Linked DNA regions of Oryzias latipes. The protein of the gene in region 1 interacts with the protein of each later gene in a pairwise test. Links are inferred from orthologs where the notes say so. Each region holds a gene or a part of one and is shown in the gene's direction. Other genes may lie near its edges. The genes, in order: grb10, gigyf1 and gigyf2.

The links.
Region 2: the proteins of grb10 (region 1) and gigyf1 interact in a two-hybrid assay, tested with the Homo sapiens proteins (2 studies listed by BioGRID). The link is inferred for Oryzias latipes from reciprocal best matches to the Homo sapiens genes GRB10 and GIGYF1.
Region 3: the proteins of grb10 (region 1) and gigyf2 interact in a two-hybrid assay, tested with the Homo sapiens proteins (2 studies listed by BioGRID). The link is inferred for Oryzias latipes from reciprocal best matches to the Homo sapiens genes GRB10 and GIGYF2.

The regions. Positions count from the first base shown.
Region 1 is NC_019874.2:13,087,838-13,091,491, forward strand, and holds part of grb10 (growth factor receptor-bound protein 10), read left to right. Parts: intron 1-1,372; coding exon 1,373-1,670; intron 1,671-3,654.
Region 2 is NC_019876.2:6,264,179-6,267,832, forward strand, and holds part of gigyf1 (GRB10-interacting GYF protein 1), read left to right. Parts: intron 1-36; coding exon 37-168; intron 169-244; coding exon 245-436; intron 437-503; coding exon 504-712; intron 713-783; coding exon 784-941; intron 942-1,023; coding exon 1,024-1,190; intron 1,191-2,119; coding exon 2,120-2,164; intron 2,165-3,654. UniProt on the Homo sapiens protein: May act cooperatively with GRB10 to regulate tyrosine kinase receptor signaling. May increase IGF1 receptor phosphorylation under IGF1 stimulation as well as phosphorylation of IRS1 and SHC1.
Region 3 is NC_019875.2:25,019,575-25,023,228, reverse strand, and holds part of gigyf2 (GRB10-interacting GYF protein 2), read left to right. Parts: intron 1-8; coding exon 9-153; intron 154-315; coding exon 316-576; intron 577-661; coding exon 662-831; intron 832-1,510; coding exon 1,511-1,667; intron 1,668-1,758; coding exon 1,759-1,925; intron 1,926-3,206; coding exon 3,207-3,301; intron 3,302-3,654. UniProt on the Homo sapiens protein: Key component of the 4EHP-GYF2 complex, a multiprotein complex that acts as a repressor of translation initiation. In the 4EHP-GYF2 complex, acts as a factor that bridges EIF4E2 to ZFP36/TTP, linking translation repression with mRNA decay.

The DNA.
Region 1 (3,654 bases):
AGCCCACATTCCTGCTACTCAGTGCCCCCTTTTTCCCCAAACATACCTTAAAAGAACTCTTTCCACACTGGGAAAAAATTTTTTTTCTCATGTGCATATTTATTATATATATATATATATATATATATATATATATATATATATATATATATATATATATATATATATATATATATATATATATATATAATATGAATTTGTATATTTGTATATTTGTTTTTTTTGTTTTTGTTTTGAGGTTTTGTATAAACTTCTGGTGTTCGTGCTTCCAAGTTTCATCTGACGTCAAGGACATTCAGCAGCTTTAGAGTGACATGTCACTCACCAACTCACCACCCTGCATGATCTAGCTGTCCCGCAGCCAGACCTGTGGTATGCAACAGCAGCCATCTAGCCCTTGTCATGCTTCATCCGTCTTTAAAAATGGGAATTCTTTTGTTTGGCATGCAATTATGAAAGCTCAAATCCTTAAAACAGTCTGCTTTTGTTGTATTCTTTTTGCAGATTATAATCTGGTATTATATTTTCAACCTCTTTTGACTATCAGTTTGTAATGTGTGCAAATATGTGTAATAATTCACAGAATTGTCTTTTTTGACTTGTAGTTGTGGGTGCTATAGTCACTGAGAGCTTTGTCTCCCCCTAGTGGCGATAGCGCAACAGTATTGTGAATTATAAGCATTTGATGAAATTATGAGCCTTCTTTATTATAAATAATGAGACAAAGCCCCACTGCAAATTGTGATTCGACAGAAAATGGAGCCAAGTAAGACATGTTCTTTTTTTTTTTTCTGATAATGAAACTTTTATAGTCTCAAGCAATTAAGCAGGTTTCCCTTCAGCAGAGAATCTGCCTCCTGAATCTAAAAGTGCCACGGGGATTTTCAAGGGGCCTTTGAAGGAAGCCTCGTCCTCTGGAAAATGTCTTGCTTTTCGGAATATTAAGTTGAAAGTTTCCTGGTGAATTTCAAGCAGATGCTTCAGCTCCCCCGGTAAGAGTTGAAGAGTGTAGCGGGCAGGTTCGTGCGTGTACCTGATGCTTGTGAAGATTAGGTTTTACTGGGAAGTATGATGAATGTCATCAAGAAAGTCCTTCTGATTAGGCGTTCTGGCACTGGTTACTAAGTTATCAGTAAATGTGGTCATGTGCACGTGCAGACACATGCCTGCAGGTCTTATAGAGACCGTTAATGTGAAAAACCTCTTTATGCATGTACTTCCTGCTTTTGTCTTTGTTCACTTTAGGTTCTGTAAACCCTACAGAGCAAGTTAAATGGGGGCTTTAAAAAACTGTTTACTTCTTTTGATCAAGAGGCAGCTCTTTACTTCGCATAGCATAAATTTATACGTCCATGTAACCTTCATCTTTCAGAGGATGACGTGGACTTGGAGGCCCTGGTGAATGATATGAACTCCTCCCTGGAGAGCCTGTACTCCTCCTGCAGCGGTCCGCAGACAGAGTCGACTCCGCTCCTACATAATGGACAGTCCTCTTCCTCACACCACCATCATCACCATCATCATATCCAACACAACCAGGCACGGCAGCTTCAGCAGCCACAGGTGTTAAGCCACACTTCCCCAGAGTTGCCTTCCTCCTCCTCACTGTCAGCAGATCTGCCCAGGACCAGCCTCAGAAGGTCACAGCCCATGCACATCCTCGCTGTCAGGTTAGTGCAGAGCTCCGTACTGCTTTACTGTTTTCTCCAGGATTGATGGTTTCTCTCCTAATATCCACCTCATTTGCACGAAGAGAAAAATGCACACTTGTACAAAATGTTAGAAAACAAACCAATATAAAGATAAACAAGACTCATTTTAAGAACGTTAAGGCAAATTGCATAGCAAAGCAACGTCATTCCCACTCGTATGGAAGTTTTTTCCCCACCCATGATTTAAAGTAATATTCAATTCTCAATTAACAATTCAATTGACAATTTGAAAATGCATTTTGCCATTTAGAATTCAATCTAAAAATAAGTACAATTCAATATTAAAATTGTAAAATGACATTTTAAGTCAAAAAGCTAAATCTATTGAATTTAAATTGTCATGGGTTTTTGATGCCAATCAAATGTAAAAGTATTTTGCAATCTAAAATTCAACGTTGAATTTGGTCATGGCTTTTGAAAATGTAGTTTGCAATTTATAATTCAATGCAAAAAAAAAAGTCATTTTAATACCTTGTTTGCTTAAAATTCAGTTTAAGGTAAATTAAAAACTGTTTTTCTCCCATAAATTCAAATTTTGATAAAAATACACAGTCTTAAAGGGAAAGCCAAAAGCTGCAAATACAGTTGCTAAATATTTATGGTGCAAGTTTGTTTTTGTGCAAAAAAGCATGAAAAATATTAATCAGGGAGTGATTTATAGGATTTGGCACTTTTCTAATAATACTGTTTTCTAGATTACCCATTTTTAAATCAATCCCACGTATGAAGCAGGTCAAATTGTGCTTTGTTCTTGTGTCTTGTCACACCTGCCCGAATGGGTCAATTTGGCAAGCCGGGGCCCGTAGATGGACCCCAGGAAATATCCGTGTCGTAGGTAATTCACTCAGTCAGAGCCGAAATGTTAATCCAGATTTTTTTCCTTTGACATTTTGCGGGCAAACACTTCACATAAGGGTAAGTAAGGGTGAAGTACATGAAATGCAGGCGCGTCGTACGGATTTTTCATGTTTTCAAACTCCATGAATACAGACTGCGTAAAGAGCCCGTTAGTGCTGTTCAGGGAAAAGTGTGCCCTCAGTTTGCACAGCCTGACTTTTAGAATTTAAATTAGACAATCAGATGGTGGTTCGTGTGACCATCCTACGGACGTCCTACAGGCACTTACGTACACCTCCACGTCCTGTGTGTGCAGTCAATAAAGACCCTGTACTCGCACCTTGCTAATTGCTCGAGTGCTGCATAGGGGCTCTGTGCAACAACTACACTATAAATACTTTACCGTGCACATAAGGCCGTGTCGCACAGCTAGTACGTGCATCTTGAACATATTGCGCAAAGGGAAAATTGATCGCATGTAAATATACGTGGAAAAAGGGATAAAAGTTGTGGTCTTTACGTAAAATTTTCATGGATGCATTGCAAATGAACCACGTTAAAACTACAGAAGAAGTACGAATAATCCACGAAAAAGAACACGTAAACAGACGTAGAACATTGAACCGTGTGTGATTATTGTCCTGTTTATATGCAATTTATTAGTGATGTGTACATCAGTTACATATTTTGAACGTCACATATGCGCTGTATGCACAATATAAAAGTTATACATAGTGGTACATGCGTGAAAAGTCTGTTAGACATGCATGAAACGGTCGTGAAAAGCCAACGATTTGCATATGCATCTCACAAAAATCACACACAATTTCCTAAGGTTACGTAAAATTGGGTATAAAAGATGTGAAATACGCATGAACTGCGCAACTGACCAAAAATTTTGAACTGCTCAAAACCAAATTCACCTACAGACCCGTCTGCCAAAACCCTCGATGTACAGTTGCGCACATCAACGAATGACGAACGCAAGAAACGATTCTAAATGACGTATATCACGCATCTATCACGAAAGGCCAAAATTTTATACAAGAAAATGTGCAAAATGGACGTAGTGTATGTGTGACACAGCCTTCATCACCCACACGAC
Region 2 (3,654 bases), on another chromosome or scaffold:
GGTCGTTTGATTTTGATTTGATGTGCTCCTTTCAAGCTCCAGGAGAGGCGAGACGCCGAACTCAGGGCAAAGCGTGAGGAGGAGGAGCAGCGCAAGAGAAGGGAGGAGAAAAGGAGGCAACAGGAGGAGCAGAAACGAAGGGAGGAAGAGGAGCTCTTCCGGCGCAAGGTGAGACGAAGCTGGGGAGTTTATTGATCTGTGTGTCCAGTAGGCGGTCCGTTTGACGCGCGTTTCCTCTGTCCAGCGGCAGCAGGAGCTGATCATGAAGCTGCTGCAGCAGGCGCCCCAGCAGACGGGGGCGGGAAGCTCCAACTGGAGCGGGGGCTCGTCCGGCCTGTCGAAGCCCGGGAAGCCGTCGGCGCTGGCCCTGCTGGAGATGCAGCAGGAGGCGGAGCGGCTCCTGAAGCAGCAGCGCGTTCAGCAGCAGCGAGAGCGGGTGAGTCTCGGAGAAAAAAAACGCTGCCGCGGGCCGCTCGCACGCTCACGCCCCTTTCTGCCCGCAGCACTCGGGCCTGTCCATGGGGAGCTCCTCCATGGGGGGGCAGTGGGCAGACGGCGTGGGCATGTGGGGGGCGCTGGAGTCCAAAAGCGGCAGCGGCGGCTCGTCGAGCAGCATGGGCTTGTGGGACGAGGCCTTGAAGAACCAGGCCAGTCTGCGCGGAAACAGCAACAACCTGGGCCTGAAGAACAGCCGCAGCAGCCCCTCCCTGAAGTAGGTGGCGGGCCGGAATGGCGGGTTCGAATCCCGTCGCTTGGTGTTGTAACCTGTGGCGTCTCCTTCAGCGAGCAGTACATGATGCGCCGGAAGAGGACGGAGGAGGAGGAGAAGCTGCTGAAGCTGCTGCAGGGCATGAAGCCTCAGGACGGCTTCACCACCTGGTGTGAGCAGATGCTGCACGCTCTCAACAGCTCCGCCAACAACTCCTCCTGCTCCCTGGACGGTAGGCCGCTCAGCTTCCGCCCGGAAGTGACCCCCCTCCGTCTTCCCATGGCTAATCAGCCCTCTGCTGTGTCTTTGCACAGTCGCCACCATCGTGGCGTACCTGAAAGAGGTGGAGTCTCCCTATGCAGTGCTGGATTTCATCCGGTCTTACCTTGGGGACACCGTGGAAGCCAAAGAGTTTGCCAAACAGTTTCTGGAGCGCCGTGCCAAACAGAAAGCCAACCAACAGAGGCAGCAGCAGCAGCAGGTCGGTGTCGGCGCCGCCACAAGACACGACCGGGCGTCCAGAGAACACGCCACGGCCCTCCTGAAAGCAGATCAGAAGAATACACAGATGAATATTTTAGAAAAATCTTAAAATTAAAGCAGGAAAAATTATGAATCAAAACTTTATGAGAATAAATTCGTTAAATTTAAAAAAAAAAAATTATGAAAAAGTCCAAATTTAACAAGAAGAGTCATTAAATAACAGAAAATTATGAGGGAAAAGTCATAAAATTATGAAAATAGTCATAAAAATTCTACTAAAAATGTCTAATGTTTACAAGAATAGTTGTAAAACTCTGAGAATAATGTCGTAAAATTAAAGAGAAATTAAAATTAAAAATTTTATTTATATATATATATATATATATATATATATAAATAAATAAAATTTTTGCGAGAATAGCCATGAAATGATGTAAAAGTTGTAAATTCAAAAGAAAAAGTGAAAATGGGTCAAGATTTACAATAGTTGTAAGATTATCATCAAAAATTAAAATTTTGTTTAAAACAGTCATAAAATCTGAAAAGAATTGGGAAATTCTGAAAAAAGTCCAAATTTAACAGTAAAAAATTCTGAGACAAACAGCAAATTCATGAAAAATTGGTCAAAATATTACACTAAAGTCAAAATTATAAGAAAGTGGTAAAATGATGAAAAAGTCAATTTTATTCGACTAAAGTCGTAACATTTTCAGAGAAAAGTTCAACCCATAATTTACAAATGTGTTGAAACATGTCTAAAGATACATTTTTCTCTCAAAAAGCTCGACTATTTCAGTTTTTTGCTCACAGTTTAATGCCTTTATTCTGGTTTTTAACTCTTTTTTTTTCTTTTCAGAAACGGAGAATAAAGTGCAAATAATGTAGAAAATGTGTTAAACGGCTCCTTTTCTTCTCTTTGGTTTCCAGTTGTCGAAGGACGTGGGAGGACTGAACATGAACTTCCCTCTGCAGGTGAACTCCCACACACGTTCAGTGGTCCGCGGGCCGGTACCGGTACTTTGATTATTTGTTTCTTTTTTTAAAACTGAAGAACGTTTTATTTTGAAAAACCACCGGATTCTCTTCACCCGATCCATCTGTTTTGACGCGACACGTGACTTGAAGCTGTTGCCCAGACCGCTAAATCTAAAACCCCAAAGCTAAGAAGCAAACAAAATGTATTTGGATAGTTTTTTTCTTTTTTTGGTTTTATTTTGCTTTATTTATCTGTCACACCTTAAAAGTCGGTCACAAGAGGCGCTCAGCTGCAAAATCCGTGTGTTTCGACCAAAAAAAGTTGCCGACCTGCTGAAGATGTTTGTGATCTGAGGAAACGTGTGGAAGGGAGTAGGGTCGGGCGATGTCCCCTAAATTGGCCGTTGACGATGTTTGCTGTCAACCATCGGGATGGACGATGATATCGTGGGGGGGGTGTGTGTGTTAAATTTGTCGTTGTCATAATTGCTATTCGTTATTTTACTTTATTACTTTATTTTATTCCCCAACTAATGACTCATCCGCGATGATCCAATATAAACTGAGGGAAGTGACTTTAACAAAAAAAGTAACAAACAAAATAGACAAGAAGTGGTCCGCTCCCGCACTTCACTAGTGAAGTGGACCGGCGGAGCGCGGACTTACAGCTTTGTGTTTGATGGGGGGGTGCTTTGTTACATGAGCGCTATGTGTGGGAGATTTAAGACTGCGATCCGTCCCGCAGCCACTGACATGTCAATATATATAGCAGCTCGGCAACATTGTTTTGTATTGAATTGTTACATTCAATAAAGTTTGAAAAAAAAATAGCCGCTCGGCGGAAATTATATCCGCTTCCGGTTTTTCAAACCCTACTGCGCATGTGCGAATGATTTATTCCGACCGAAAGTGTGACCCATGTGAACATTTGTTATATTCTGAAAACATTTTTCTGGAACCATGTACACGTTTGGATTCTAATCCGACCATTGATCCCATCAAGATATTTTGCACATGTAACTGCGGATTATGGTGTCGACTCGCAACGTGGCGGGGGCGTGGCATCACGATGGTGTCTCTCCATCGGGATGTCAGTCACCCATCACCATCGTCCATCGGCACAACCCTAGAAGGGAGATTAATGGTGAACGAGGCAGGAAGCTGTTAAGAAACCTAAAAACAGAAAATGTTCCTGTGACGACAACAAATACACAATAAATCAGGAACAATGCAAAAACAAAATATGAAGAATCTTTTGGCTCTGAAGGACGGTTGAGTTCTCCATGTGAGAAACGAATTTAATCTAAAAAATGTTGAAGTATTTGCAAATTAGAAACTACTTCTACAAATCACCAATCTTCCTTCACTAATTCCTCGTCAAAAAAACAAAAACGGGTACAAACGTTTTATTTATATGTATTTATTTTTTTAAACTAAATTTTCAGAAACAAAACAGAAAATCCAGTTCAGACCGGCCCATGAAATGT
Region 3 (3,654 bases), on another chromosome or scaffold:
ACTTGCAGAAAGCTCCAAAGGAGCCCATCCCAGAGGAGGCAGAGCTGGAGTTTAAGCCCTTAGAAGAGTGTGAGGAGAGTTTGGAGGAGGACAGTCCGCTCAGCGAGACCAAAGAGACAGAACAAGAGGCGAAAATAGAAGCTGAGAGGAAAGGTCGGCCTCCCCGAATATTTGCTTTTGTCAGTTGTTTTTACACAACATGATTGGTTTCCACCTATGCTGGACGAAAAGTTGTACTTTTATTTAAAAAAGCTCTTTATGATTTAAAAAAAAGGTTGAAAAATCTCATGTTGTTTCCCGACGGTTTGCTTTTAGAGTTGGCCAAAGCTTCAGAGGAGGCTCCGCCTGTCATTCCACCTGTTCCTACGACAGTGGCAGAGTCCCACCCTCCTGCACAGTGTTTTCCCTCAATCCACCCCAACAGAACGGAGGAGATGGAGAGGCCAGCCGAGCAGCAGCAGCAGCAGCAGCCTCTAGCGATACCCCCAGAGCCCTGCAAAGCTCCATTAAGAGTCCCCATCATCAGTAGCATGCTGGAGTCCCGTCCTATGACTCATGTTTCCACAAGCATGTCAGGTTTGGCCTTTTTTCTCTTTTATCTTTCATTTTGTTGAATAAAATATAGAACATTTTGGTATTTTATTTCATTTTGTTTTTGCAGAAGCTCCTGTTCCGTCGTCTGCCGCCAAACTCCCACAAAAGAAGTCTATAGAAGTTCCTGTGACCATCAACAATCATTTACCTTTCCCTTCAAACGTAATAGCACCTATTGCCAGGCCCACCTCTGTACCACATGACACGGATGAAGACGGACTAAAAAACTTTGAGCAGGTAGATTCTTTCAGCTTAAACCCATTGACATTATTAGAGAACTGGACCGAGTGAGTGTGATGTCACCTGTGGAGACTTCATTTGCCATTTTTGGGCGACATGGATGCTGCCATGTTGGAGCCAGACCACACCAGTAATCATTGATTGATCCAAGTCAACGTTTCTATGGCAACCATTCTCATTAATCAGGAGTTAGCTTGTTGGAAACCCACATCCTTAACACCTGAAAGAGAGCGACACAAACGTTTTAAACATTTGACGTGTGACCACATGCTTTTATTGAAAAAGCTGATCGGGCAGTTTATAACTTGAATAACTTGCACTACAGGAAAAAAAGAGCAAAAAGCAAATTAGGATTAGTAAGAACATGTTAAAAAAAAAGAAAAGAGCAAGAACGGTTATTCTGACAAACAGAATGCCTGGGTAATAGCTGTTTATTTCTCAATATAAGTCTATGGGATTTAGGCCTGTTTGGAACACCAGGAGGGCAAAGTCACTCAGTCCAGTTCTCATACTTAAACTCAATGTTAAAGGGAATTCCGTCAAACAGCCTCTTTTTCTCTGTAATTGCTGTAAAATGATCAAACAAAAGTAAAATCAGGTGTGTTTATTTCTAAGTAGTTATCTGGAATGTATTTGGTAAATCAGCTAAAAACTGTGTTTCTACATTTCTTACTAGGAGGCAGAGAAGATGGTTGCATACTTGCATGACAGCGGCGCGGATGACGACCGGCTTGCAGCAAAGACAGCAGAGAAGCCCAAGCCTGCAGGCCTGCCTCTCACCCACGAAGCTGCTCTTAAATGGCTTTACAAAGATCCACAGGGGGAAATACAGGGTGAGATGCGGAAAATGACCTGCTGAAAAATCTCACGTCAACCTGTGCTTCAGTCTGACGTTTTGGTCCTGACGCTCTTTCGCTCCTTCAGGTCCGTTCAGCAATCAAGAGATGTCTGAATGGTTTCAGGCTGGTTACTTCACCGTGTCTCTGTTGGTCAAAAGAGGTTGTGATGAAGTGTTTCAGCCTCTGGGTGAAATCATGAAGATTTGGGGAAGGGTACCATTCACTCCAGGGCCCTCCCCTCCACCATTACAAGTAAGAACCCCTGCAGAATATTGATCAGTGGTTTGCTGTCATCTGATTTTACTGGTTCAATGTTTTAAAAGGGAAGGTGATGATGGAGAATCAGCGTGTGTTTTAGTGACGGTTAAAAACGGAGTTATACTTTACCACAAACTGTGAGCTTTAGTGACTGGAAGTGGTTTATCAACTGCCTCCTGTCTGGAGCTGATGGGGTTTTGATGACTGTTACAAAATCTTTTTAAATAAAAAAACAAAAACAAACGGCTGTTTTTTATCTGCTGCTGATAAGCACAATTTGAAAAAAGATGTTTTGATCTTAAGTTATTTTATATATGTTCACCACCATGAGAAAAATGCTACAAAAACATGTTAAAAACACAGAAAAAACAGATTTTTCATTGGAGTGGGTCTTCAAAGCTAGATTCATGAATGTGCTTGTTTTGAAACACCAGGTGGCGCTTGTGAGCCTTTTTGTGAAATAGAAACTGTTTCCTTCTAGGTAGATTAGTTGTATAGTTATATGTCCTTTGCATCACTTTACATGAACAGAAATACCAAATCAAGCTAGCAAATATAGAAAAACAATATTAGTCGCAGCAACCTTTGGTTTTGTTACAAAACCTACCTTCTAAAATTGTGATCCAGCTACAAAAAAAACTGTTTTTGTGTTTTTTTTATTTTTATGTATGATATTTTTCTTATTTTTATCAAGGCCATGATAAAAAAGACCCCTAATTTTATTCTTGTTTTTATTTTGACCCTCTCCGTTTAATGCCGGACAGCAAGCGTTCAAACTTGGTCAGAGAGAGAACACAAATGCAGAGAACACATTTGGGAAGTTTCATTTTAAATGTGTCCAGACAACAACAAATTCTAGCCTTGGACGCACTTAAAGTGCATGGGGGTTTGCTGCACCTGAGCTGATGTGCACGCTGGACGGGGCGTTGTGACATCACAACAGCTCATAATTTAAACCCAGTGTCTTTGCGACAGTTTGACAGCAATTTAAAAGGCCAAATACTTGATTAATGATTTTTTAATTACATTTGTTCTCTTTTAGAAGACAAATGCCACACATACATGTCAAAAACTTAAAAAACTTGGTTTTCATGGGAGGGGGACTTTAGGGGGTTTTGTATTCTATGTTAAAGTTGAGTCATTGTTCTGTTTGCTGCTTTGACTGTTCTGACTTCTGTCTCTGTCTTGTTTTGAATTAATGATCAAAGAGCACTCTTTGATTGTTGTTATCCCTGTGACAATATCAATAAAGTATCTTATTTTCCTCATTTGCAGTCAGATGGTGACCAAGAAAGGTTAAAGAGGCAGCAGGAGCTCACTGCTCTCAACCTTTATCAGTTACAGCAGCTACAGTATCAGTACCTCCTCAGGTAAGTTCTCATCTGAAACCTGTTTTCAGACCACCACTCCTTTGTGTTAGTTTAAAAAAATCAGCGGCATAAAGGAAAGGTGTCATGAAAAGTTATATGTTTGCTTTGGGGTTTGTTTGTTTTCCCCCTAAAGATAAGCTGGTTTGCTGTTTACCCCCTGTTTACAGGATGTTTGTTCAACTAAATTTCCAATAAAAAAAAAAAAATGCAGACATGCAGAATATTTCTGAGGATTTTTGTCCAAAGCGATTACTTTAAGCCGTTGTTTAGCTAAAAGGTTCTTTTTACCCCAAAACAAAACTCATGCTGAGGCTAATATCCCTTTAAATAATTTGGATACATGTATTTAAATG